2 linked regions of the Macaca mulatta genome follow. The protein of the gene in region 2 interacts with the protein of the main gene of each other region in a biochemical or structural test. Links are inferred from orthologs where the notes say so. Each region holds a gene or a part of one and is shown on either strand. Other genes may lie near its edges.

What was found.
Region 1: of the proteins of CARD9 (region 2) and TRIM62, one has a biochemical effect on the other in vitro, tested with the Homo sapiens proteins (4 studies listed by BioGRID, with this or other methods). The link is inferred for Macaca mulatta from reciprocal best matches to the Homo sapiens genes CARD9 and TRIM62.

What each region holds. Positions count from the first base shown.
Region 1 is NC_133406.1:207,675,877-207,687,752, forward strand, and holds the start of TRIM62 (E3 ubiquitin-protein ligase TRIM62), read left to right. Parts: upstream 1-3,988; 5' UTR 3,989-4,609; coding exon 4,610-5,017; intron 5,018-11,876. UniProt on the Homo sapiens protein: E3 ubiquitin ligase that plays a role in antifungal immunity by mediating 'Lys-27'-linked ubiquitination of CARD9 downstream of C-type lectin receptors; leading to CARD9 activation, followed by activation of NF-kappa-B and MAP kinase p38 pathways.
Region 2 is NC_133420.1:6,140,103-6,151,334, forward strand, and holds the end of CARD9 (caspase recruitment domain-containing protein 9), read left to right. Parts: intron 1-191; coding exon 192-329; intron 330-489; coding exon 490-794; intron 795-933; coding exon 934-1,113; intron 1,114-1,197; coding exon 1,198-1,341; intron 1,342-1,567; coding exon 1,568-1,693; intron 1,694-4,070; coding exon 4,071-4,262; intron 4,263-4,628; coding exon 4,629-4,670; intron 4,671-5,069; coding exon 5,070-5,115; intron 5,116-6,632; coding exon 6,633-6,709; intron 6,710-6,849; coding exon of another isoform or gene 6,850-6,999; exon of another isoform or gene 7,000-7,102; intron 7,103-7,306; coding exon 7,307-7,383; intron 7,384-7,467; coding exon 7,468-7,564; 3' UTR 7,565-7,916; downstream 7,917-11,232. Other genes in the region: DNLZ (DNL-type zinc finger protein), read left to right, coding at 8,148-8,369, 8,642-8,781, 9,582-9,703. UniProt on the Homo sapiens protein: Adapter protein that plays a key role in innate immune response against fungi by forming signaling complexes downstream of C-type lectin receptors.

The sequences.
Region 1 (11,876 bases), on a different chromosome or scaffold from region 2:
GCTTTCCAGAAAAAAAAATTCCTGATGTTAATTTCTGGAGTATGAATGGAAGCAGATGGCATACACTGCAGTCAGGATCTCTAAGTCTTAGTTCAGACCATTCAACCACATCAGATGTGGGAAGAGCAATCAATGACTTGCCAAATGTAAAGAAAATCAACAGTTTTAGTGTTCTGCATCTTAATGGAGATGGAATAAGGTCAAGAGAATAAGTGCTCAGAGAATAAAAGGACGGAACACTGGAAAGTAAAGTGAAAGATAAAGAGACTGGGCTGGGTGCGATGGCTCACACCTATAATCCCAGCACTCTGGGAGGCCAAGGCGGGCAGATCACTTGAGGTCAGGAGTTTGAGACCAGCCTGGCCAACATGGTGAAACCCCATCTTTACTAAAAAAACAAAAATTAAGGCCGGGCGCGGTGGCTCAAGCCTGTAATCCCAGCACTTTGGGAGGCCGAGACGGGCGGATCACGAGGTCAGGAGATCGAGACCATCCTGGCTAACACAGTGAAACCCCGTCTCTACTAAAAAATACAAAAAACTAGCCGGGCGAGGTGGCGGGCGCCTGTAGTCCCAGCTACTCGGGAGGCTGAGGCAGGAGAATGGCGTGAACCCAGGAGGCGGAGCTTGCAGTGAGCTGAGATCCGGCCACTGCACTCCAGCCTGGGCGACAGAGCGAGATTCCGCCTCAAAAAAAATAAAATTAAATTAAATTAAAATTAAAATTAAAATAAAAAAATTAGCTGGGCATGGTGGCAGGCACCTGTAATCCCAGCTACTCGGGAGGCTGAAGCACGAGAATCGCTTGAGCCTGGCAGGTGGAGGTTGCAGTGAGCCAAGATTGCGCCACTTTTCTCCAGCCTGGGCTTCAGAGCTCTATCTCAAAAGAAAAAAAAAGAGACTGACTTTCGGCCAGAGAAAGCCATATTCTATGTCCTTTGGAGGAGATTAGAGCTACATATTAAGACTATGTACCGAAAGGATTTAGACAATAGAGTAAAATAGTACCAGAGCCTCTTCTAAAGACAGCTGCAAAATTGGCTGGGCACAGTGGCTCATGCCTGTAATCCCAGCACTTTGGGAGGCAGAGGCAGTGGGATGACCTGAGGTCAGGAGTTTGAGACCAGCCTGACCAATATGGTGAAATCCTGTCTCTACTAAAAATACAAAAATTAGCCAGGCATGGTGGTGTGCGCCTGTAGTCCCAGCTACTAGGGAGGCTGAGACAGGAGAATCACTTGGACCTGGGAGGCAGAGGTTGCAGTGAGCTGAGATCACGCCACTGTGCTTCAGCCAGGGTGACAGAGCGAGACTCCGTCTCAAATAAATAAATAATAAAAGCAGCTGCAAAATAGTATGGAGAAAGCTGGGCTGCTGCAACAAAAGACCCAAAATACAATGGCTCTTGGAAAATAAGTTTACTTCTCACACTCTAGTCCATGTCAGGGTGGCTGTACTTCATGCAGTCATTCAGGAACCCAGGATCCTCCCATATCTTTGCTCCATCAGCCCTTTTGAAGCATTATTGAAGCTGGTACATCTGTGTTCCAACTCAAGAGAAGAGGAAATGGACTATGGAAGAGCAAAAGTCTCATGCCTTACGGTCTATTTTTATTTGTGTTCTATTAGAAAGACCTTAGTCACCAAGTCTCACTCGGCTGCAAGAAGAGCTGGGATGTATGGTCTCTAGTGGACCAGCCATTCCTCTGACTGCTACTCTATTATATAGAAGAATAGCAGGATGCATTTTAGTGGACAGCTAGCAATTTCCATCACATCTCCTTTATTTGAGGCTTGGTATCTTCCTCTATAAAATGGAGATAATAATATAAACTAGTTAAGGCTGCTTTGGGACTCAAATCCAATAATATATGTGAGAATGCTTAGCAAGCCATACTGTGCCAGATAAGAATTTCACATTGATTTTGCCCTCTAGACCACCAGTTCCTTGGGAACAAGGAGCATAGTTTATTCCATCCCCTCACAAAGACCTGCTCGGAGTCAGCATCAGTAAAGACATGTTGAATAATGAAGTCACTGTTTCATCCATCATCAAGTCTTTTTTTTTTTCATTTCATTTCAAATGCTTCAATAATTTAGACTCTGCCCTGTTCACCTTCCCCACCCACTCATTAGGGGTGCACATCAGTGTAGCAGTTGGGATTCTCTGGGTTGCAAAGTGACAATGCACTACTGTTAAACTGGCTTATGCAATAAGATGGACCATCTCACATATCCTGAAGTCCAGACTCTGAATCAGAATAAAAGTTTCTCTTCCCTAGGACTCTCTTGGCCTTGCCCTCCGTTCTCTACCTGCTGTATCCTCAGACTGGGAGCAAGATGGCTACAGCAATTCCAAGCATTGCCACCAAACACATCCCAGCAAAGGGGGCAGACGATTTTGAAAAGTAAAGAGACCCTTTCCTGAATTCCCCTCTTTGCCATAGGCTTCCCCTTTAGTTTTTCAGGCTGGACCTGCCCAAACCATCACTGGCAGGAGGAATGAGACCACCATAATGGACTTGGACCAAACAAGACTCACTCCTGGAAATGGGCTGGGGTCAGCCTTCCTTTGGTCACATGGGGAAGGGGCCACCTGAACAAAATCAGGGCTCTGCCTATAAGAAAAAGTCGAGTAATTGCTGTTGCATGAACCAACTATTTTTCTGGCAATGATGGAGATTCTGGGCCAGATGAGGGTGTGATGGAGAAAGTGTCTAGAGAACTAAACTGAGAGCTTTTTCATCAACTGTACCTCAATAAAGTTTAACACCAATGAAGATATTTCTGGAGGAGGCAGAAACTGGTAGCCACTCTCAATGCCTCATTTCCCTCACCCCCGTATCCAGCCATCACCAAATGTCACCGTGTGTGTACCTGCAATACTCTAGCCTTCTCTCCTTACCCACTGTTGGGGCCCCAGTTCGGGTCTTGCCTCCTGCAGGCACGATGACAACAGCACCTCAGGGGTGCCCAGTCTTTCCTTCTCCTGCAACCCGTGGCGTTGATGCGGTTATTCAGCTACACACCTTTACTGTGTGCTGAGTGCTGTGCATGCACAGACACATCGGAAAAGCTCCCTGTCTTCTTCACCTTGCAGATGGTATCATGAATATCTCCGAGACTTCCTGAAACCCAATCGGACCAGGTCATTCCCTTGCCTGAAAGCCCGATGCCTTCAAGAAATGCTTTACCATGACCCAAAATGCCCTCCAGCCCACCCAGGCCCCTTCTCCACCCCACCCCCGACGGTACAGAATTACTTGCACTTCCTTCACTTCGCTCTCCCCTTTCACGCCTCTATGCTTTTGCACAGGCTGTCTCCTCTGCCTAGAAATCCCTTATCCCCTCTCCATCTGGCACACAAGACAAATTTTCCTATTACTTTTCCTCCCTCTCTCCTGCACCACCCCTCACCCCTTACACACACACACACACACACACACACACACAGCACTCCAGAATTGTTTGCCAATGGAGCAGCCTCCGGGGCCAGATGTTAGCCAGGGCTTTCCAAACTTCTCCCCAAGCACTCCTTAAGAAAGTGAAGAGGAAATGGAACCCCAGGGCTTAGGAGTGTGAGGTCCTTGAACTTGCTCTAAGCAAGCGGGGCATTTCAAGAGTTTTATCTTTATATTTTATGCAGAAATTGTATTCCAAACATATTCTTGTTCATTTTAATACAAAATATGATTTTTTTCTACATCTTCAAATCAATGATCCAGAAAGATGCTCCTTGTTTATTTGTCGTGCTCTCAAATTAGCTGCTGTCCCTGCTCCGCCTCGCCGCGGGGACCCTAAGCGAGACCTGGATGCAGTTCCAAGTACACACCCCAAGGAACAGCTGGGGAGCTGGAGGATGGTGGGGGCGGGGCGGAGGTCAACTGGCTGGCGGCCCCTCCCCTCCCCCGCCCGCTGCGGGGGCGGAGTTGCTTGGGTCCCGCCTACGGGGGCGGGGAGGTAGCCGCGGCCACCGGCAGCTCAGATTCGGCTGGTTCCGGGTTGAGAGGCTGCGCTGGACCGAAGCGGTGGCTGCTAAGCCCGCGGGGGTAAGGGTCCGCGCTGGGCCAGGGTTTGGGGCCGGGATCCGGCAGCTGAGCGGGCCGGCACCCCTCCTCTTCTCTGCCGGTCACAGCCAATGTACGGCTCGGCCTGGCTGCCCCCTCCCCCAGGATTCCCCATCCCTAGCTTCTCGCCCTCCCCCCAAAGCCCCCACCCCGGGATTTCGACCCCTTCAAGGGATCCACCCCTCTCCGGGATCCCCTTCTCCCAGCTCCTATCCCTTAGGACTGCCCCGCCCCCTAGAACCTCCCCGCCAAGATCTCCGTCCCTCAGCCGCTCACGGCCTCCTCCCAGCGTCCATTGACTTGAGCTCCCCACTACCTCTAGACCGCACTCCCGGGCTGGCGTCCCAGGGAGTCTCAGCCGCGCACCCCTTCCTCGCGTTACCCTCCTTCCGGACAGCACCCCCTCCCTTCTCCAGTAGCTCCTACCCCTGCCTGTGCGGGCCTCGTCCCCGCGCCCAGCCCTCGGTGCTGCCTCCAACAGCGCCGCACTCTCTCAGCCGCCCCCCTGCCCCTCGGGCCCCCCTCTCTGCCGCCCCCGGCGCCATGGCGTGCAGCCTCAAGGACGAGCTGCTGTGCTCCATCTGCCTGAGCATCTACCAGGACCCGGTGAGCCTGGGCTGCGAGCACTACTTCTGCCGCCGCTGCATCACCGAGCACTGGGTGCGGCAGGAGGCGCAGGGCGCCCGCGACTGCCCCGAGTGCCGCCGCACGTTCGCCGAGCCCGCGCTGGCGCCCAGCCTCAAGCTGGCCAACATCGTGGAGCGCTACAGCGCCTTCCCGCTGGACGCCATCCTCAATGCGCGCCGCGCCGCGCGACCCTGCCAGGCGCACGACAAGGTCAAGCTCTTCTGCCTCACGGACCGCGCGCTGCTCTGCTTCTTCTGCGACGAACCCGCGCTGCACGAGCAGCACCAGGTCACCGGCATCGACGACGCCTTCGAGGAGCTGCAGGTGCGCTGCTCGGCCGGCCTGGGGCAGGGGCGGGGCCGGGCTGGAGGTGGGGTCGGGCCGGGGGTGGGGTCAGGGCTGGACTGCGGGCCAGACCCAGTCAGAATGGCCCCGGGGCGGGGCCGCCGGCAGGGTCAGGGCCCTATCAGGAGTAACACGGAGCAGGGAGGGGCGGGGCCGCCGCGGGGCGGGGCCGTGGGGGCGGGGCCTTGGGCAGTCCGTACCGGGCGGGATCTGAGACAGACCTGGAGTAGGGGCTGGTCCGTGGTTAGGAAGTCGAGGACGCGGATGGGACGGCGGAAACGAGTGACATCAGAACTGGACCAGATACTGGGCTGGGGCAGGGTTGTGAACGAAGTGGAATCAGAGCTGGGGAAAGGCAGGGCCGCTGTCAGACTGAGGGCGAGGCCGCGAAGATGGGTCTGTACTAAATCGGGTAGCTGAGCTCTGGCAGGCTGGGGGTTCTGTGGGGCCGGAGACTGGATCAGATGTGCATCAGGACTAAGGGGAGTACAGGGGCTAGAATGTGCTGGACAGGTGAGGGTGAAACTCAATAGAGGGGTATAAGATAGGGTGCCAAACTGCTTGAGAGGGCAGGTTTGAGTGCCGAGGGTTAGACCAAGACGTATGAGGGGTTAAAACTGAGATCAGCTCCAGATACTCTACAACAAGTTTAGATTTAAGCCAGAGTAGAGGCCAGATTGAGTGGGGCCAGGACTTGAAAAGTAAAGATTTGGAGAATAAGGCCCAGATGTACGGTGATTCAAGAAGGGAGGGTCTAGACCCTAGACTCTAGGAGTCTCTATGGGTTTTTGATGACCTCTTTGGCTCTGTCCCCCACATCAGGACCTCTGAAGACTAAGCGAAATGGTACATGCAGAGGGACCTGAGCATAGTTGGCAAAGAACTCTAATCGGTTCCCCTTAAGACTTCCTGTCTTCACTGACAAACTCCTACTCAACTTTTAAGGGAAGAACCCTGGTTTCTTCCAATGTCCTCTCTGTGAAGGCTTCTCCAAGCTCCACTGGTTAAAAAAATAAAAAATAAAAAATAAAAAGCATTAGAACTGCATTTCCCCAAATGCTCTCTATTAATAAGTATGGGAAATGTAGTATATTTTTTATACCCACCCCCTTGGAGAATTTTCAGTATGCATTTGCATATTAAAAGCTTAGAGAAGTCTTGTTGCAAATAAATCTATTTTACTGTGTTTAATAAAATGGTTCCCAAGCTTATTTGGGCCTGGAATTCTTTTTTCAAGCTAAATCACTGAAATCCGGCAGTCCCATGTTCCTGGCTTTGGGATACTAGTGGAGCACATAGTTCTCCAAGGCCAGAGACAGTATCTTGTTTCTCCTATCCATGGCCACAAAGCCTGGTGCAAGACCTGGTCCACAGTACACACCAAGAAAGACCAAATGAATGAATGAAAGAATGACCAACGCTGGCGTAAGCTGGACCAGACTATGGAGCATTTGGAAGCAGAAAGTTTTTGGCTCAAACATTTTATGAAAATGGAGCGGGCTAACTTGGGAGGTAATGAGCTCTCTGGCCTCGAGATACTCAAACAGAAACTAAATAACTACTTTCCCCTGTATTGTATGGGCTCCCAATCCCTTCACACACCAGTCTTTGAGTAGGCCTGCACCCAGCAGATGCCCATGGGCCTCAGGAGAAATGGCCCATGTTCACCATCGCCCCCTCCCTGTCCCTTTTATCTCGAAACTACAACTGACTCCCTTCCAGTCTAGCTGTCTGAGGATGAAGACCCCATCAGAGGGTGAGCAAGAGCCTGGGCCTCTGGGAGCCTGCACAAGGCTTGGCCCTCCACCCCCAGAGCCATCATGCTAGGCGCTGCTGCTGTCCATCTCCTTGTCTGCGGAGTCACATAAGCAGGAAGAGTTTGAAGGGACTCTGTCTGAAACCATCTGTCCAACCTCTTCATCATGTAGGAGTGGAAAGTGAGGCCTGTAAAAGTGATGTGACTTGCCCAAGGCTACACTTCCAGACAGTGAGAGAGCCAGGGCTAGAGGGCACAGCCTGACCCAGATCCCTCTTCTCTGATCTCTCCCCTCCCTGTCTGACTTTCTAGCCTCTGCTTCAGAGGCTTGGTTCTCCTGTCTGCAAACCAGGGAATCCAGATTACTGTATGTTGGGCTTCTGTACTCTATCCCATGACCTGGGGGACACAGGAGAAATTGAACATGTATTACCTACAAATACTATTGAAATGCTTCATTATTGGGTGAAAAGTAAAACAGGAGTGCCGCTTGCTTACTCTCTAGCACACTGTCCTGGGGTTGGACACACTTGAGTTCCAAACCTGCCGTGGGCACTGTGTGCCCCTTGATGAGTCACTCCATGTAAACGCTGATGCTCTGTCTGTACAATGGGGTCCAGATGCCTCCTTCCTACCAGGACTTTTGTGAGGCTGACCTGGGATTACCCTGCTATTTGAGGTTCAAAGGCACACAGTACGGGCTGGAATAACATATAGCCCACCTTTTCTCTTTCTACCTGTGAGAGCTCATGTGCCCAGCTGAGTGAATGCCCAGACTCTCCTCTCTGGCCCAAGAAGGAGGCCTTGCTTTGGTGTGTCCTCCGGGCTTGGCAATTGGGTGGCAGAGAAATCTGCCTCCCCTCTGGAGAGGATGTGCTGCTGGGTGAGATTCAAGGCACCCTCCACCCCCACCTGCCTCTCCCTCCATATGGGGAAGGCTTATTAGCTATTTATGCAGCAGAAATAAGGCTGAACCCACCCTCACATCCCCTTCTCTCCCAGCAGCTGATGGAGCTGGGGCCCTTCTCCTGCAGAATTACAGACTCAGAGCCGGCAGGGTCATGCAGATCATCTGGTGCCACGCCCACTTGACAGATGGGGAAACAAGAGAGGGAGAGGGAGGAAGGGGACTTGCCCAAGGCCTCGAAGCCAGAGGAGGCTGGGCCTGTACTCAGCCAGAGTCTCCTAACACTCTACCTAGCAGTTGGCCTGGAGCTTTTACATTTATTGTAAATCCTTGAGGCATCAGAGCAGAGAAATTAAGAGCCCTGCTTTGTACTCAGGTAATCTCAATCCTGGCTCCACCATTTACTGTGTGACTTTGGTAAGATTATTTACCATCTCTGAGCCTTGGGTCCTTCATGGATAGCATGGAAGTAATTATATTAGGATTAAACAAGATGATGTTTATAAAAGCTTAGTACCTAACAGCACTCAATAAATGACAGCTATAGTAGGTTACATCGTCCTTGGCACTGTTGACATTTGGGGCTAGATAACTGTTGTGCAGGGCCATCTTGTGTGTTATAGGAAGTCTGGCAGCATCCCTGGTCTCTACCCACTAGATGCCAGTAGCAAATTCCACCCACCTCCCAAGTTGTGACAATCAAAACCATCTCCAAGCATTGACAAATGTCTCCTAGAGTCAAAATCACCTCTAGTTGAGAAACCTGACCTAGAGAAGTCCTACTCAACTTTAAAACTTCAGGTCAAATATCACCTCCTCTGTGAAGCCTTCCCTGACCTACTAAGCACAATTGCTTTGTACTCCAGATTCCATCACAGGGGTCAGACCTGACATGCTGTGTGTCCTTGGTCACGTTACTTTGCTTCTCTAAGGCTCCTTCCCTAAGGTTCATCTATAACATAAGGATATGACATTCCTGGGAAGGATGTTGTAAGGGTTAGGAATCCTTTATCAGAAGTGCCTAGTACCGTGCCTGGCACAGTAGGTACCCCGAAACTATTTTTAAATATCTTTGTTCATTATAAAATTAACATAAGAAGCAGAGCTATATAATGTAAAAGTCCCCCCCATAATCATACCCCATGAAACATGGCAGGAATTACTATATAGTTCTAAGGATTTTTGTGTAACCTGTGTGTGTGTATGCGTGCATGCATGTGTGTATGCATGTGTGTACATGTGTGCACGTGTGTGTGCATATGCGTGTGTGTGCGTGTGTGTGTGTGTGTTGGCGTCTTCCTCCCCACCTCCACTGCTGAGTACCTGGACCACTGAGCAAAGTGGAGGGAGGGAGCCCATTTCCAAAGAGTTCAGGGCTTCTCAGCCAATATTCATTGAGCCCAGTCTGAATGCCTGGGACTGCACTAAGAGCTTTTCTTGCATTACCTCATTTAATCTTCATAGCACCCTGTGGGATGGGTACTGTTATCTATTTCTTTTACCGATGAAGTAACAAACTCAGAGGAATTAAGTGACTCATTTGGTCACCCAGCTGGTAAATGGCAGGGCCAGGATTTGAAGCCAATCTGACTAGGCCACATATCATCCCTGAGCTGCCTCTGAGGGTTGGGTAATTGTCTCCCAGCCACCCTGCTTGTCCTGTATTGACAGGGCCAGGCCATCTGTCCCAGCTGACGCCCCGAGGGCAGGTGGTTGGGACGTCATCTTGGTCAGACCAGGCGTGGCATCCGGCTCTCTGGCCATCTCAGGTTCCTAACCCCCAGAGAGGGCATCCAATTCAGTCTCAGCCGCCCCCTCCAAGCCTCATGTGACCGTTGGAGCCCTTCCCAAGGCTTCCTTCATGCCAGAGAAGACAGCAGTGGATCAGCCTTGGGCGCAAGCCCTGGCAGGCAGGGTATGGTGATCCAGTGACACCAAGACAGCCACCCAAGGAGGGAGTGGGGCTGGGGGCTAGGTTCAAATCCCGGCTCTGGTTTCTTCCAGGAGAGGGGGTGACACTCTTTTACCCAATCTGAGAAATGGAAGTAAGAACTAGCCCTCCTGCTTTATGTGGAAAGAGAGAGAAAGAGTTGCTAAATATCCAAAGAAATGACAGATTCAGAGGTACTTTATTTTGTAGCATAGAAAGGAAGGCAGCTGGGTTGTCTGTGTTCTGGGGAAGTGGCTCTGCTGTTACTTTTCCAAGGAGAGGGCAGGATTTCTCTGCCAACAGCAGCCTCTGTGAGGGCAAAGCTGGCTGGGCATGGTGGCATATGCCTGTATTCCCGGCTACTCAGCACAAAGTAAGTTATGGGGCACTTACTGTGGGCCAGGGGCTTTCTTATGGGCATTTGATCCTCACAAGGATTTTTTTCTTTCCCTACTCCCTGAGTGGGACTGAGATCAGTACCATCTCACAGATGAAGAAACTGAGACTGAGAGATTCAGTAACTTTCCCAAGATCACACTGCAAGTAGGAGGAAGAGCTGAGATTCAAACTGGTCTTTCTGACTCAGAATTCACCCTCCTTCCCAACATGCCAACTGTCCCAGGGAGCACCCAAATGGGGAGGAACCTGAGAAACCATCAAAGAGTTGACACTCTCCCCATTTTGCAGATGGGGAAACTGGCTTGCCCAGGGTTAGACCAGAGCTCAGCTCTCCTGACTGTCAGTCCAGTGTTGTTTCCTCAGTACCATTTACCTTCCTAACCTCCATCTTTGCTTGAACACTCAGAGTGGATGAGGAAGATTTGGAGGTGAGTTCTGTCTTGGATTCAGGGATTCACTTAATAATTTCTGGGCTGGGCGCAGTGGCCCACGCCTGTAATCCCAGCACTTTGGGAGGCCAAGGCAGGTGGATCACCTGAGTTTAAGATCAGCCTGGCCAACATGATGAAACCCCCATCTCTACTAAAAATACAAAAAAAAAAATTAGCTGGGCATGGTGGCATATGCCTGTATTCCCAGCTACTTGGGAGGCTGAGGCACAAGAATCACTTGAACCCGGGAGGCAGGGGTTGCCGTGAGCCGAGATCGTGCCACTACACTCCAGCCTGGGTGACAGAGCAAGACTCCATCTCAAAAAAAAATACATATACATATGTGTGTGCATATATATGTGTGTGTATATATATACACGTGTATATATATACATATATGTATATATACACACATATATACATGTATATATATACACACACACACATACACATAATTTCTTTAGCCAGTATATATGCCATGGCTACAGCGGGCCAGCCCTGTGTTGGGCCCAGGAGAGAGCTACACAAGACCTGGCCCTGTGTGGCCCCGAGAGATAGGCCCATGAACTGGTAGGTTGCTGTAACTGAGGCTTGCTCTGTTGAGCTGAATCCTAAAAGATGTGCTGAGTGCTTCAGGCCAGGGAGCAGAAAGAAAGATGTTATGGACAGAGGGAATAAAAACATGCACAGCCTGGTGCAGAGCATTCCAGGGATCGGATTCAAGGCTTTGACAAGCAGGCCCACGCCCCTTCTCTCTCCCTCCCCCAGCCTACCTCTCATTTAATTCTAACAGTAACCCTATGAGATGGATCTCATGCCCCATTTTACAAATGGAGAAACTGAGGCTCAGAAACGGTGCCTGGCTGGGCACAGTAGCTCACACCTGTAATTCCAGTACTTTGAGAGGTCAAGGCAGGAGGATTGCTTGAGTCCAGAAGTTCGAGACCAACCTGGGCAACAAGGCAAAACCCTATCTCTACAAAAAATGCAAAAAAATTAGCCGGGCATGGTTTCATGCACCTGTAGTCCCAGCTGTTCTGGAGGCTGAGGTGGGAGGATCGCCTGAGCCCAGGAGGTTGAAGCTGCAGTGAGCTGTGATCATGCCACTGCACTCCAGCCAGCCTGGGTGACAGAGTGAGACCCTGTCTCAAAAAAAAAAAAAAAAGGAAAAACAGAAACTGTGCCTAAGGGCCTGGAAAGAGAGAAAGGAGAAGAAGTGGGAGGAAGAAAGGAGGGTAAAGAATATAAATGTATTTACTGCCTCTGAATTGTATACTTAAAAATGGTTAAATGATAAGTTATATATGTATATTTTACCTCAATAATTTTTTTTTTTTTAAAAAAAAGAGGCCTGGCTCAAGCCTGTAATCCCAGCACTTTGGGAGGCCGAGGCGGGCGGATCACAAGGTCAGGAG
Region 2 (11,232 bases):
CCAAGGGATGGGTGGACAGCACTTTGTCCCCAGCCTAGTACCAAGACCCACAGGGTGCCTCATCCACGACCCAAACCACAGCACACCTCATCTGCATCCCAGCCTCCACCTGTCCCTGCCCCCGGGCCCACCCACCCCAGCCCTCTGCCTCGCCTGTGCCCCGCCCCCAGTTAGGCCCCTCTGGCCCGCAGGCGTGCTCTTGGACATCCTGCAGCGGACCGGCCACAAGGGCTACGTGGCCTTCCTCGAGAGCCTGGAACTCTATTACCCACAGCTGTACAAGAAGGTCACGGGCAAGGAGCCGGCCCGTGTCTTCTCCATGATCATCGGTGAGTGACGGGGAAGGCGGTGGTGGGGGCGGGCAGTGGTGCTGGGTCCTCTGCCCAGCCCCCATCCCTAGGAGCCCTGAGCTCCTGCCACAGCGCAGGGCGTGATAGAGCTGGGCCACCGGGGAACACAGGCACCGTCTAACGCTGGCGCGGCCCACAGACGCGTCCGGGGAGTCAGGCCTGACTCAGCTGCTGATGACCGAGGTCATGAAGCTGCAGAAGAAGGTGCAGGACCTGACCGCGCTGCTGAGCTCCAAGGATGACTTCATCAAGGAGCTGCGGGTGAAGGACAGCCTGCTACGCAAGCACCAGGAGCGGGTGCAGAGGCTCAAGGAGGAGTGCGAGGCCAGCAGCCGTGAGCTCAAGCGCTGCAAGGAGGAGAACTACGACCTGGCCATGCGCCTGGCACGCCAGAGCGAGGAGAAGGGTGCCGCGCTCATGCGGAACCGTGACCTGCAGCTGGAGGTGCGCCCACTGCCCCCGGGGAACCAGGCCCCCCTTGCCTGGCCTGGTGGGGTCTGCAGGCTGGGGCCGTCGGGGGTGGCCCCGTGGGTCCGTTGTCACCGCCTGGAGGGGACAGCCGGGCTCACCGGACCTTCCGCAGATTGACCGGCTCAAGCACAGCCTCATGAAGGCCGAGGACGACTGCAAGGTGGAGCGCAAGCACACGCTGAAGCTGAGGCACGCCATGGAGCAGAGGCCCAGCCAGGAGCTGCTGTGGGAGCTGCAGCAGCAGAAGGCCCTGCTCCAGGCCCGGGTGCAGGAGCTGGAGGCCTCCGTCCAGGTGGGGCCGCAGGCAGGGCGGGTGCAGCCCGGGCAGGACAGCCGGGGCCTTCCCAGCCAGGCCATTGCCTTTTGCCCCCTTCAGGAGGGGAAGCTGGACAGGAGCAGCCCCTACATCCAGGTACTGGAAGAGGACTGGCGGCAGGCACTGCGGGACCACCAGGAGCAGGCCAACACCATCTTCTCCCTGCGCAAGGACCTCCGCCAGGGCGAGGCCCGACGCCTCCGGGTAGGAGGGCAGGCAGGGCGACGCAGCTCCTGGGGGCCAAGCCACGCTGGGTGGGCTGAGCTCCGCCCACTCCGTGCCTGGAAGGTGGGGCCTGGGGACTCCTATGGCCTCCCCCCACATCCCAACTGGCCTGACCACATGCTCCTGAGCCCCTTCCCCGAGTACACCCCACGGGCCAGAATGGGGGGCCTCAGGCCTGTGGGGGCTGAGCTGCTGCCCCTTGCAGTGCATGGAGGAGAAGGAGATGTTCGAGCTGCAGTGCCTGGCCCTGCGTAAAGACTCCAAGATGTACAAGGACCGCATTGAGGCCATCCTGCTGCAGATGGAGGAGGTTGCCATTGAACGGGACCAGGTGGGCACCTCACGGGGCGGGCAAAGCACCCCACTCACGGGTGGGTGCACAGGGCCACACCCCTTGAGGGCAGTTGTCACGGAGTTTTTAATCTTTGCTATTTGTTTTTGAGATGGGGTCTTGCTGTGTCACCCAGGGTGGCCTCAAACTACTGGCCTCAAGCAGTCCTCCGGCCCCAGCCTCCCAGAGCGCTGGAGTTGCAGGCTGAGCTGCCACACCTGGCCTGCTTTTTAAATGACAGAAGTAATATTTAACATTAAAAAAAAGTAAACAGTGATGAAGTCAATACTTCCCCGCCCCAGCCTGCTCTCAGGGAAAACCGTGTTCCACCTTCTGGCTCCACCTTACAGACTTTTACCTGTCATCCATCTATCCATCCATCCATCTATCTATCATCTATCTATTTATCTATCAATCATCTATCATCTATCTATCATTCTATCATCTATCATCCATCTATCAATCAATCATCTATCAATCAATCATCTATCATCCATCCACCTATCATCTATCTATTATCTATCACTTATCTATCTATATATCTTTTTGATTTTATGAAAACATTCTGTCTTGTTTTACCAGTAGCTTTTTTTTTTTTTTTTTTTGAGACGGAGTCTCGCTCTGTCACCCAGACTGGAGTGCAGTGGCCGGATCTCAGCTCACTGTAAGCTCTGCCTCCCGGGTTCCCGCCATTCTCCTGCCTCAGCCTCCCGAGTAGCTGGGACTACTTTTGCTGGGACTACAGGCGCCCGCCACCTCGCCCGGCTAGTTTTTTGTATTTTTTAGTAGAGACGGGATTTCACCGGGTTAGCCAGGATGGTCTCAATCTCCTGACCTCGTGATCCACCCATCTCGGCCTCCCAAAGTGCTGGGATTACAGGCTTGAGCCACCGCGCCCGGCACCAGTAGCTTTTTTTAATCTTGAAAAAAAACTTGGCTGGACGCAGTGGCTCTTGCCTGTAATCCCAGCACTTTGGGAGGCTGAGGCGGGCAGATCACTTGAGCCCAGGAGTTCCAGAGCAGCCTGGGCAACATGGTGAGATCCCAACTCCATAAAAAATACAAAAATTGGCCGGGCATGGTGGCTCATGCCTGTAATCCCAGCACTCTAGAAGGGCGAGGCAGGTGGAACACTTGAGGTCACGAGATCAAGACCAGCCTGGCCAGTATGGTGAAACCCCGTCTCTACTAAGAATATAAAAATTAGCCGGGTGTAGCGGCGGGCACCTGTAGTCCCAGCTACTCAGGAGGCTGAGGCAGGAGAATCGCTTGAACCCAGGAGGCAGAGGTTGCAGTGAGCTGAGATCACACTACTGCACTCTAGCCTGGGTGACAGAGCAAGACTCCAACTCAAAAAAAAAAAAAAAAATTGGCGTGGTGGTACATGCCTGTGGTCCCAGCTATTTAGGAGGCTGAGGCTACAGCAAGTCACCATTGCGCTACTGCACTCCAGCCTGGGCCACCGGAGTGAGGCCTGCAAGGCCTCGAGTGCTACATGCTGTGAGCCGGATAGAGCGTCACGGGGCAGGGCTGTGTCTGCTTCCTATGCCCCGTCCCGAGTCCCATCCTGGAGGTTGTCTCCAATGGACACCACTGCTTCTTCGGCGAAATTCTGGATGGCAGTTTGTCCACATCAGGAGCCTTAAAACGAGACCCCTGGGGCCATAAAGCAAGCCCTGGCCACCATGAGAGCAGCACAGGCTCAGAACTCCTGCGCGGCCCCACCACAGCCTCACTCGCGCCTGGCCCACCCCAAGATGGGGAAAAAAGGGCAGATCCAGTCGTGCCCCCATGGGGGTTGGTGTGGCTCCCAGGGCGAGGGCTCCCACGGGGCTGTGCGGGAGCAGGTTGGCCAGGGATTAGGGAAGCTGCCAGCCGTTGCTCCAGTCCAGTGGCAGGGGTTAGGTGAGGGCCTCCCAGCCTTGGCTGCAGGGGTGGTCACGCCGTCATGTTTGCACGTTCGCTCCTGTACCTACCTCAGCATCTGCAGTGGGGACAGGGGTGGTGAAGAGTGCTGCGCTCATGAAGGAGTTTTAGCCATGGACAGTCAGGGTCCCCATATCAAGCCACATCCAAAATTTATCAAATGTGCACGTGTGTGTGTGTTGGGGGGGCCGGTGCACAGCACACGCTGTGTCCACCGGGGGTGCAGGCTTGGGAGGAGACAGAAGGGCAGCAGGGACAACTGTCACCTTTACAGTCCCTCAGATGCTGACTTCATGTTCACAGAGCACATAAAGGGAGGGGCTGTGGCCAGCCTCCACACCCAGCGGCTTGACGTCCTCCGGGGCCTCTGCTCGGAGCTGGGCAGCCAGGCCGAGGGCCCAGGGCGAGCTTGGGGGCCTCACTGAGGGTCGGCCTTGCACTGTCCCATCAGGCCATCGCCACACGGGAGGAGCTGCACCTGCAGCATGCCCGGGGCCTGCAGGAGAAGGACGCACTGCGCAAGCAGGTGCGGGAGCTGGGTGAGAAGGCAGATGAGCTGCAGCTGCAGGTGTTCCAGCGTGAGGCGCAGCTACTGGCCGTGGAGGGCAGGCTCAGGCGGCAGCAGCTGGAGACGCTCGTGCTGGTGGGCCTGGGGCCTGGGGCAGGGACGGGAGCCAGCGGGTGGGACGCAGGGCCGGGGGAACATGGGCCTTCCTGACCCAACCCTCCTCTGTGACGGGCCCCCACCTAACCGAACCCCCCCTCGCAGTGGGGTGAGGGCACAGGAGCAGCTCAGGGCCCCAGCAGGAAATGGGGCTGCAGGGCCAGGGTGGGTGCTGGGCCTGGCCATCAGGCAGCCTAGCACGTTGCTCTGGGCATGGAGGGGGCCTGGCGTGGCTAAGGGCATGCCCAGGGCTCCCTGGAGGATCCCGCTCTGTGCCCTGCCCACCCTGTGCCTGGGGAGCCCTCTGCCCCCACAGCCCACCCACCCCGTTTTCTATGACCACAGAGCTCCGACCTGGAGGATGGCTCACCCAGGAGCTCCCAGGAGGTGAGTGAGACCCCAGCCGGCACGAGGCTGGCCTTCCTTCACCTGGGGTCCTGGCTGAGCCGCCACCAGGCACAGCCCCACACTGCCCGTCACGTGGCCCTGCTCAGTGGGCTGGGCTCGGTGGAGGAAGAGCAGGTGGCCAAATACTAAGGCCTCCGACAGCTCAAGGGGTAAGGCAAGGCATGGACAGTGCCCAGCTCCTGCATCCTCATGGCGGGACCTTCCTGGCTGGCCTCCCCCACATCCGTCTGCTGAGCACCTGAGTCTCTGAAAAGCTCTGTGCAGGGGGTGATGGCAACGGCCGCACCCAGCTGAGGGCCAAGGGCTGGGGTGGGCAGTGTGGCCGGGTCCAGTCCTTGGCGGGGTGACCTAACGGGACATCTTGCCTCTCTTCGGAAGCTCTCGCTCCCCCAGGACCTGGAGGACACCCAGCTCTCGGACAAAGGTAAGGTGGGGACGGCAGTGCACCTGGAGGCCTCCCGGCTGCCCCAAGCGAGGCCCATCTTCAGCACAGGCAGCCTGTGCCGCAATGCCTGTCTCAGCCCCCACAACCCCCACCCCACAGACGGAAACTAGGGCTGGGGATAAGTAAAATGGCCAAGGTCACCCAGAGAACAAACTACAGAGCCCAGTGGAACCCGGGGCCCAGCTGGTGGGACAAGTGTCCCCTGGGGTGGAGAGTGTGGGGCCCCTCTGGGCAGCCCCCCGGGGTGCAGAGGTGAGCAGGCCCACTGTCCTGAGAGTGTGGGGCCCCTCTGGGCAGCCCCCCGGGGTGCAGAGATGAGCAGAGGGAGGTGGTGATGAGCAAATGCCCAGGGGTACAAAGCTAGAAAGTGGGGCAAGACGGGGCCCCACGTGGCTTGAGGGACAGGGCCGAATGCAGGGGTGGCCAAGGGCCTGCTGTGTCCCGGTGCAGTGGGGGTAAGGCAGTGGTGGGGGCTTCTAGCGGGCAGGGCAGGCCCCCTGTGCCTCTCTGGGGGAAGAACTGGAGTGGCTGGCTGGGAGCAGCCCCCGAGTGCCCAGGAGCGGATAGTGGTGATGAGGTAGGTGTTTGCTCTGAAGGTGGTGTCAGGTGGGAGTCGGGGAGGACCCAGCAGAGGGACCCTGGGAGGCTGCGTGGGAGTTGGACGAGCTTCCCGAGCACCAGGCTGTGGCCTCCAAGCAGAGGCGGAAGGGGAAGGAGGAGCCGCAGATGGGGAAGTGAAGACCAGCACCTTTGGCCGCAGCCCAGAACACTTCAACTTGGGGACGCCAAGCCCCCATGTAGGCACAGAGGCGAGCAGACCCAGGAGTCCAGCTCAGGCACTGCCACCATCTCCCTGGGTGGCTGTGGCAGGAGTGGGGGCAGGCATGAAGGTCCGAGGGTGAGCAGGGGAGGGGCTGGCTCTAAGGAGGGGTTGCCAATGGCCAGGACAGCCCTGGCCTGGCCTTCCCCACAGCGGGGCTGAGACTGGACATGCATGGTTTCTGCCCAAGGGTCCTGACCCTTGGTCTGCCCAGGTCCTGGCGGGTTCTGAGGGGGTCTAGCCACCTGAAGGTTCTCTCCCAATTGTGCAGTACCCCTGCCCCCGCCACTGTAGCTGTTTCCAACTCTCTCCCCAGGGCCGCCATGCCCACAGATGCTTTGGAGTGATGGGGGACAGTGCTGCTCAGGCCAGGGTTTAAGCTCCCCTGAGGTCTGGGAGGCCTTCCTGCCTGGGGGGCAGCCAGCCTCGGGGAGGGATGGTCACTGGCAGGAGCGTTGGGCCTGGGCTGGCATCTGGCGGCATCCTGGAGCAATGAATGGGCAAGGGAGGCCATAAGGCCTCAGTCTCCTCTACAGAAGGCAGAGTCTACACTGGACCCATGTGGGGATCCCACCAGGCCCACAAGGTGTCCGCAATGCCGGGGAGGGGTGGGGCACCCTTGCTGTACGTGGCCCTGCAGGTGGGCAGTCCCCACAGGCACGACTCTCCTTTCCAGGATGCCTGGCCGGTGCGGGGAGCCCGGAACAGCCCTTTGCAGCTCTGCACCAGGAACAGCTTTCACGGACCCCCCATGTAAGGCTTCCTCAGGGTGGGGTCCCCCCAGCTGTGGGCCTCACGGTGGCCGATCCCAGGGAGGGTGGCTCCTCGCCCTAGGCACCCCCTGCAGTGGCCCCGACGACGCTGAGGGGTGACCACAAGGTCTCTGCCCTCAGTGCTTGGGGTGCGGTTGTCTGGGGCGCGAAGTGGATCCCCCTGTTTTCTTGGGTACTGCAGCAGCTTCGGGGGGCTTGGAGGTGGACGTGCCTGGTCCTGGTTTCTTGGGGGACTTTACAGTGGATGCGGAGTCAACCCTGAGTAGGTGAACACAGGAGTCCTGAGAGCAAGGACTACCTCGGGCTTTGTTGTAGAAACAATGGCCAGGAGCCCAGGCCGGAGCGTGGCTTGGCCTCCTGCCTGTGTCTTGGCATCTGAAATGCAGGCTACCCACATCGGCTCACTCCCCGGGTACAGGCAGGTCCCAAGCGCGGCGAGCTTGGCGCTGAGCTGAGGCTGTCTGAGCTCCCCGCCTCCCCACCAGTCTGCAGTTACCGGGGCCAGTGGGGGTGCGAGAGAGAAGGGAGGGTGCCCTCAGGGGAGCCGGCCGGAGCCCAAGCCTTTCCCCTTCTCCAGGACGCAGGCCTGAGCAGCGGGGAGCCGCCTGAGAAGGAGCGGCGGCGCCTTAAGGAGAGTTTCGAGAACTACCGCAGGTAGGCGGGCGGCCCCCAGGCTTCTCCAAAACGGGCTGGGGAGCTGCAGCCGGGTCTGCGCTTGAGACACCTGTGTCTTCGCAGGAAGCGCGCCCTTAGGAAGATGCAGAAAGGCTGGCGGCAGGGGGAGGCGGACCAGGAGACCACCGGCAGCGACAACACGGACACTGAGGGCTCCTAGCCGCAGCAGCGCAGGCCCCGTCCAGGGCACACCCACTGGCCCGGCCTCCCGCCACCTGGGGGTGCCGACGCCCTGGGGCGCAGACTTCCCCCGAGCCGTCGCTGGCTTAGCCTGGAAGGAGGAATCTGGTGCCCTGAAAGGCTGAGCCGGGCAGCCTGGCGTTGGGGGCTGTTTGTTAAGCGGCACTCAGCTTGAGGAGGCCATGCGGGTGCTCGCCACCCCCATGCACACGCCATCTGTGTAACGTCAGGGTCTGTTCTATTTCACCATGTAACACACAATACATGCATTCATTGTAGAAGTGTGAGAAAACACGGCAGCTTAAATAAATAAACAGCACGGGTGACCCGCATTCCCGCTCGGACACTCGCGCGCAGCCCCGCGGCCGTCCCTCCTCGCTGCGGGGCCTCGGTGTCCTCCGGCAGCGAGCTGCACGTGGACGCAGGGCCCCATCAGGCCGCCAGGGGGCGGCAGAGCGCAGCGCGACCCCAACCCGGAGGACGGAAGCCCAGGAAGGCCGCTTCCGCCTGGTGCCCACTTCCAAGATGGCGGCAGGGCGGGGCTGACGGAGCTGGCGAGCGGGATGCTGCGGGCGGTGCTGGGCGGCGCGCCGAGGCTGCTGAGCCGCGTGCAGCCCCGAGGGCCCTGCGTGAGGCGGCTGTGGGGCCGCGGGGCCCGTCCAGAGGTCGCGGGGAGGCGGCGCGCCTGGGCCTGGGGCTGGCGGCGCTCAAGCTCCGAGCCGGGGCCCGCGGCGGCTCTGGGGCGCGTGGAGGCTGCGCACTACCAGCTCGTCTACACCTGCAAGGTGGGCACGCGGCGGCACGGAATCGGGGACAGACCCGCACCTGGCGCTACACAGCCTGCGGGGAGAGGCGGCCCGCCAGGGCCTTCCTGCAGGGGGCGGGGTCAAGTCAGAGGAAGGGGTGGAGCCACAACTTGGGGCGAGGTGGGTGTAGGGCCTTCTGGGAAGGAGGGGAGGCGGACCATGAGGAGGAGTGGAGCCGTTTCGGGGGCGGGGCCTTCCCGGGAGGGGCGTGGCGGCGCTCACAGCCTCACCAGCTGCCCTGTCCCAGACAGGTCTGCGGGACTAGGTCCTCCAAGCGCATCTCCAAGCTGGCCTATCACCAAGGCGTGGTCATTGTGACCTGCCCCGGCTGCCAGAACCACCACATCATCGCGGACAACCTGGGTTGGTTCTCGGACCTGAATGGGAAGAGGTGAGGCCTGTACCCCAGGGCTGGGCCAGGAGTCCACCCAGAACCCTGGCCTCCCTGGGGGAACCGTGCCCTAGTGTGGAGGTCTATAGATCTCACCTCGGCAATCCAGCCACCTTATCAATACAAGATACACAGTTAAATTAGAATTTCCTATAACCCCCAGATAGCTGTTTAGTTTAAGTATGCCGGAAGTAGGGGTTGTGTTTTCATTTGCTAAATCTTGCCAGCCCTGTGGCCCTGCCTCCCTGCCTCTACCTGCCCTCTGCCCTCACTGCCAGTCTTGTCTCTCTGGCGTGGTACTTTTTTGCCCTCTGCCGTCTCGGAGTGGCTGGCCCACGGCAAAGTGTGGAGTGTGGGCCAGGCGGTGTGGCCTGGGCTCTGGCCGCTGGGAGAGCAGTGGAGGTGGTGTTGGGAACCTGGTCCGGGCTTTGCCTGGCCGGGAGGTCCTGAGCAGGACAGTAACAGTGACAGCAGGTCTGAGACCAGCATGCTGGGCACTTGGTGGTACCTGGGCCTTGGAGCTGGGGCTGTCCTCCCATCCGACCTGGGGCTGCAGACTCTTCCCTCTGGCGCATAGGGGGCAGGAGCAGGACTGGGTTCCTGAGGTGGCACATACTGGCAGAGAGACAGGGTTGGTGAGGGCACACAGGCCAGCATCTGAAGTGCCCACGTGGCCTGATGCCACAGGAGTGCTGGTCCTGGTGCTTGCAGCTCTGGCCTGGCCATGGGGCACCCTGAGGGGACTGAAGTGCAGGGTGAGCAGGGGCCCTGAAGAACCTTGTTGCCTCCCTGCCTCCCAGAAATATCGAAGAGATCCTGGCGGCCAGAGGCGAGCAGGTGCACCGTGTGGTGGGCGAGGGGGCCCTGGAGTTTGTTCTAGAGGCTGCAGGGACCCCCACATCTACTGCTGCTCCAGAAGCAGGTGAGGATGAGGGTCCCCCCGGCCGTGGCAAGACGGAGCCGAGCTGACCCCTGTGCTCCCCAGCACTGTGGGACTTCTGCCTTCCAGAAGGATGTTTTGGCCCTGGGCCTCTCTGGACATGGCCTGTTTTCTATCAATAAACAGACATTACTTCCGGATGCTGGGGCCGGTGGCCCTGGTGGCATTTCTTTTTCTGGAGTTAGAATGACTGCTCTGAATCCCTGGTGCTGCTGGGTGGGACACTGGAGCCGCAGGACCTCTCGCCTCACCAGTTCCTCCTACACGGAGTCGCCTTGGACTTGCCCACAGGGGCCACAGTCTCCTGGAAAGGGGGCTGGATGTGGAGTCAGAGCCCCTCTTGTTTGTCACTGCGTGACTTTGAGCAGGTCACCACCCCTGTGAGCCTCAGCCTTCCTCTGCAAGCCCCTTGCCATCCCGCTGGCCAGCTCTGGCGGCCTCCCTTCCGTGAGCCAGTGCAGACCTGAGCCCTGGCCCTCGGCCGCTGGCTGTCGGTGACACTGAGCAAACCGGGCTGCTTGCTGGCCCAGGCAGGACGAGCAGCTATGGTGTGGCCACGTGTCGGGAGCTCCAGGCCCTTCCCGGGGGAGCCATCTGGGCCTCCTCCCCTTGGTGGATGGCGCTCTGGATGCCCCGGGCCCTCCGAGGCACGTGGGGTTTGTCTCCCAGCCTTGTTTGTGCACAGGATGCTCCTGTGCTGATGAAAGCGAGCACACGCAGGAGCCTGTTTATTTGCAGAAGCGTTCTGGGCAGTGTGACCTTCAGCATTAATCACCCACCACACTCTGGCAGGAAAGAGAATGGGGCGAGGTGGGAGGTGGAGGCAGAACTGAGCACGACAGGGACCCAGTGCAGCCCCTGCCAGCAGGACCCGGCCGGGACTGCCAGCTCACATCCGGCCCGTGGGAGGCCGCGACCTGGTGGCATTGTTCCCAGCGCGCTTGTGGTGTGGGCTTTGACTCGATTACCCGTCCTCTCAGCCAACAACCCTCTATTATTCCCACCCAGAACCTTCTGTGCCATTTGTGGAAACTGTCCTCCTCTCGCTGAGCCACCCGCACCCAGGCCTGCTTCTCCATGGAGGCACTGACTGGGGGTCTCTTGGGGGCCTGGAAGTGCAGAGGCCAGTGGGCTGGGCTTGGCTTGGGTGCCTCACTGCCTCCAGAGGGCCTGGACCAGCACGTGGGGAGGTCCAGGGAGCCGTCGGACCTGGAAGTGCAGGATTCGAGCGAGGAGAGTTGCTCGGGCCAATCCCTCCTCTTACAGTTGGGGAGATGGAGGCCAGTAGTTGGGTTGTGGATGTTACCGTGTCTTTTTTCTCTGGTGCCAGCACCTCTGGGCCCAGGTTGGCCCTGGAGGGACACCCTTCCCAAGGCTGGCACGTTCCTAGAGTAGAGAAGACCTATGGCCACCCCCAGCGTGCCCGACACATCCCACCAGCTTCTGCCTGAGGTCCCCCTGGACCCTGTCTTCCTCCGCCCTTCCCTCCCCCCAGCCTCACTGCCACAGCC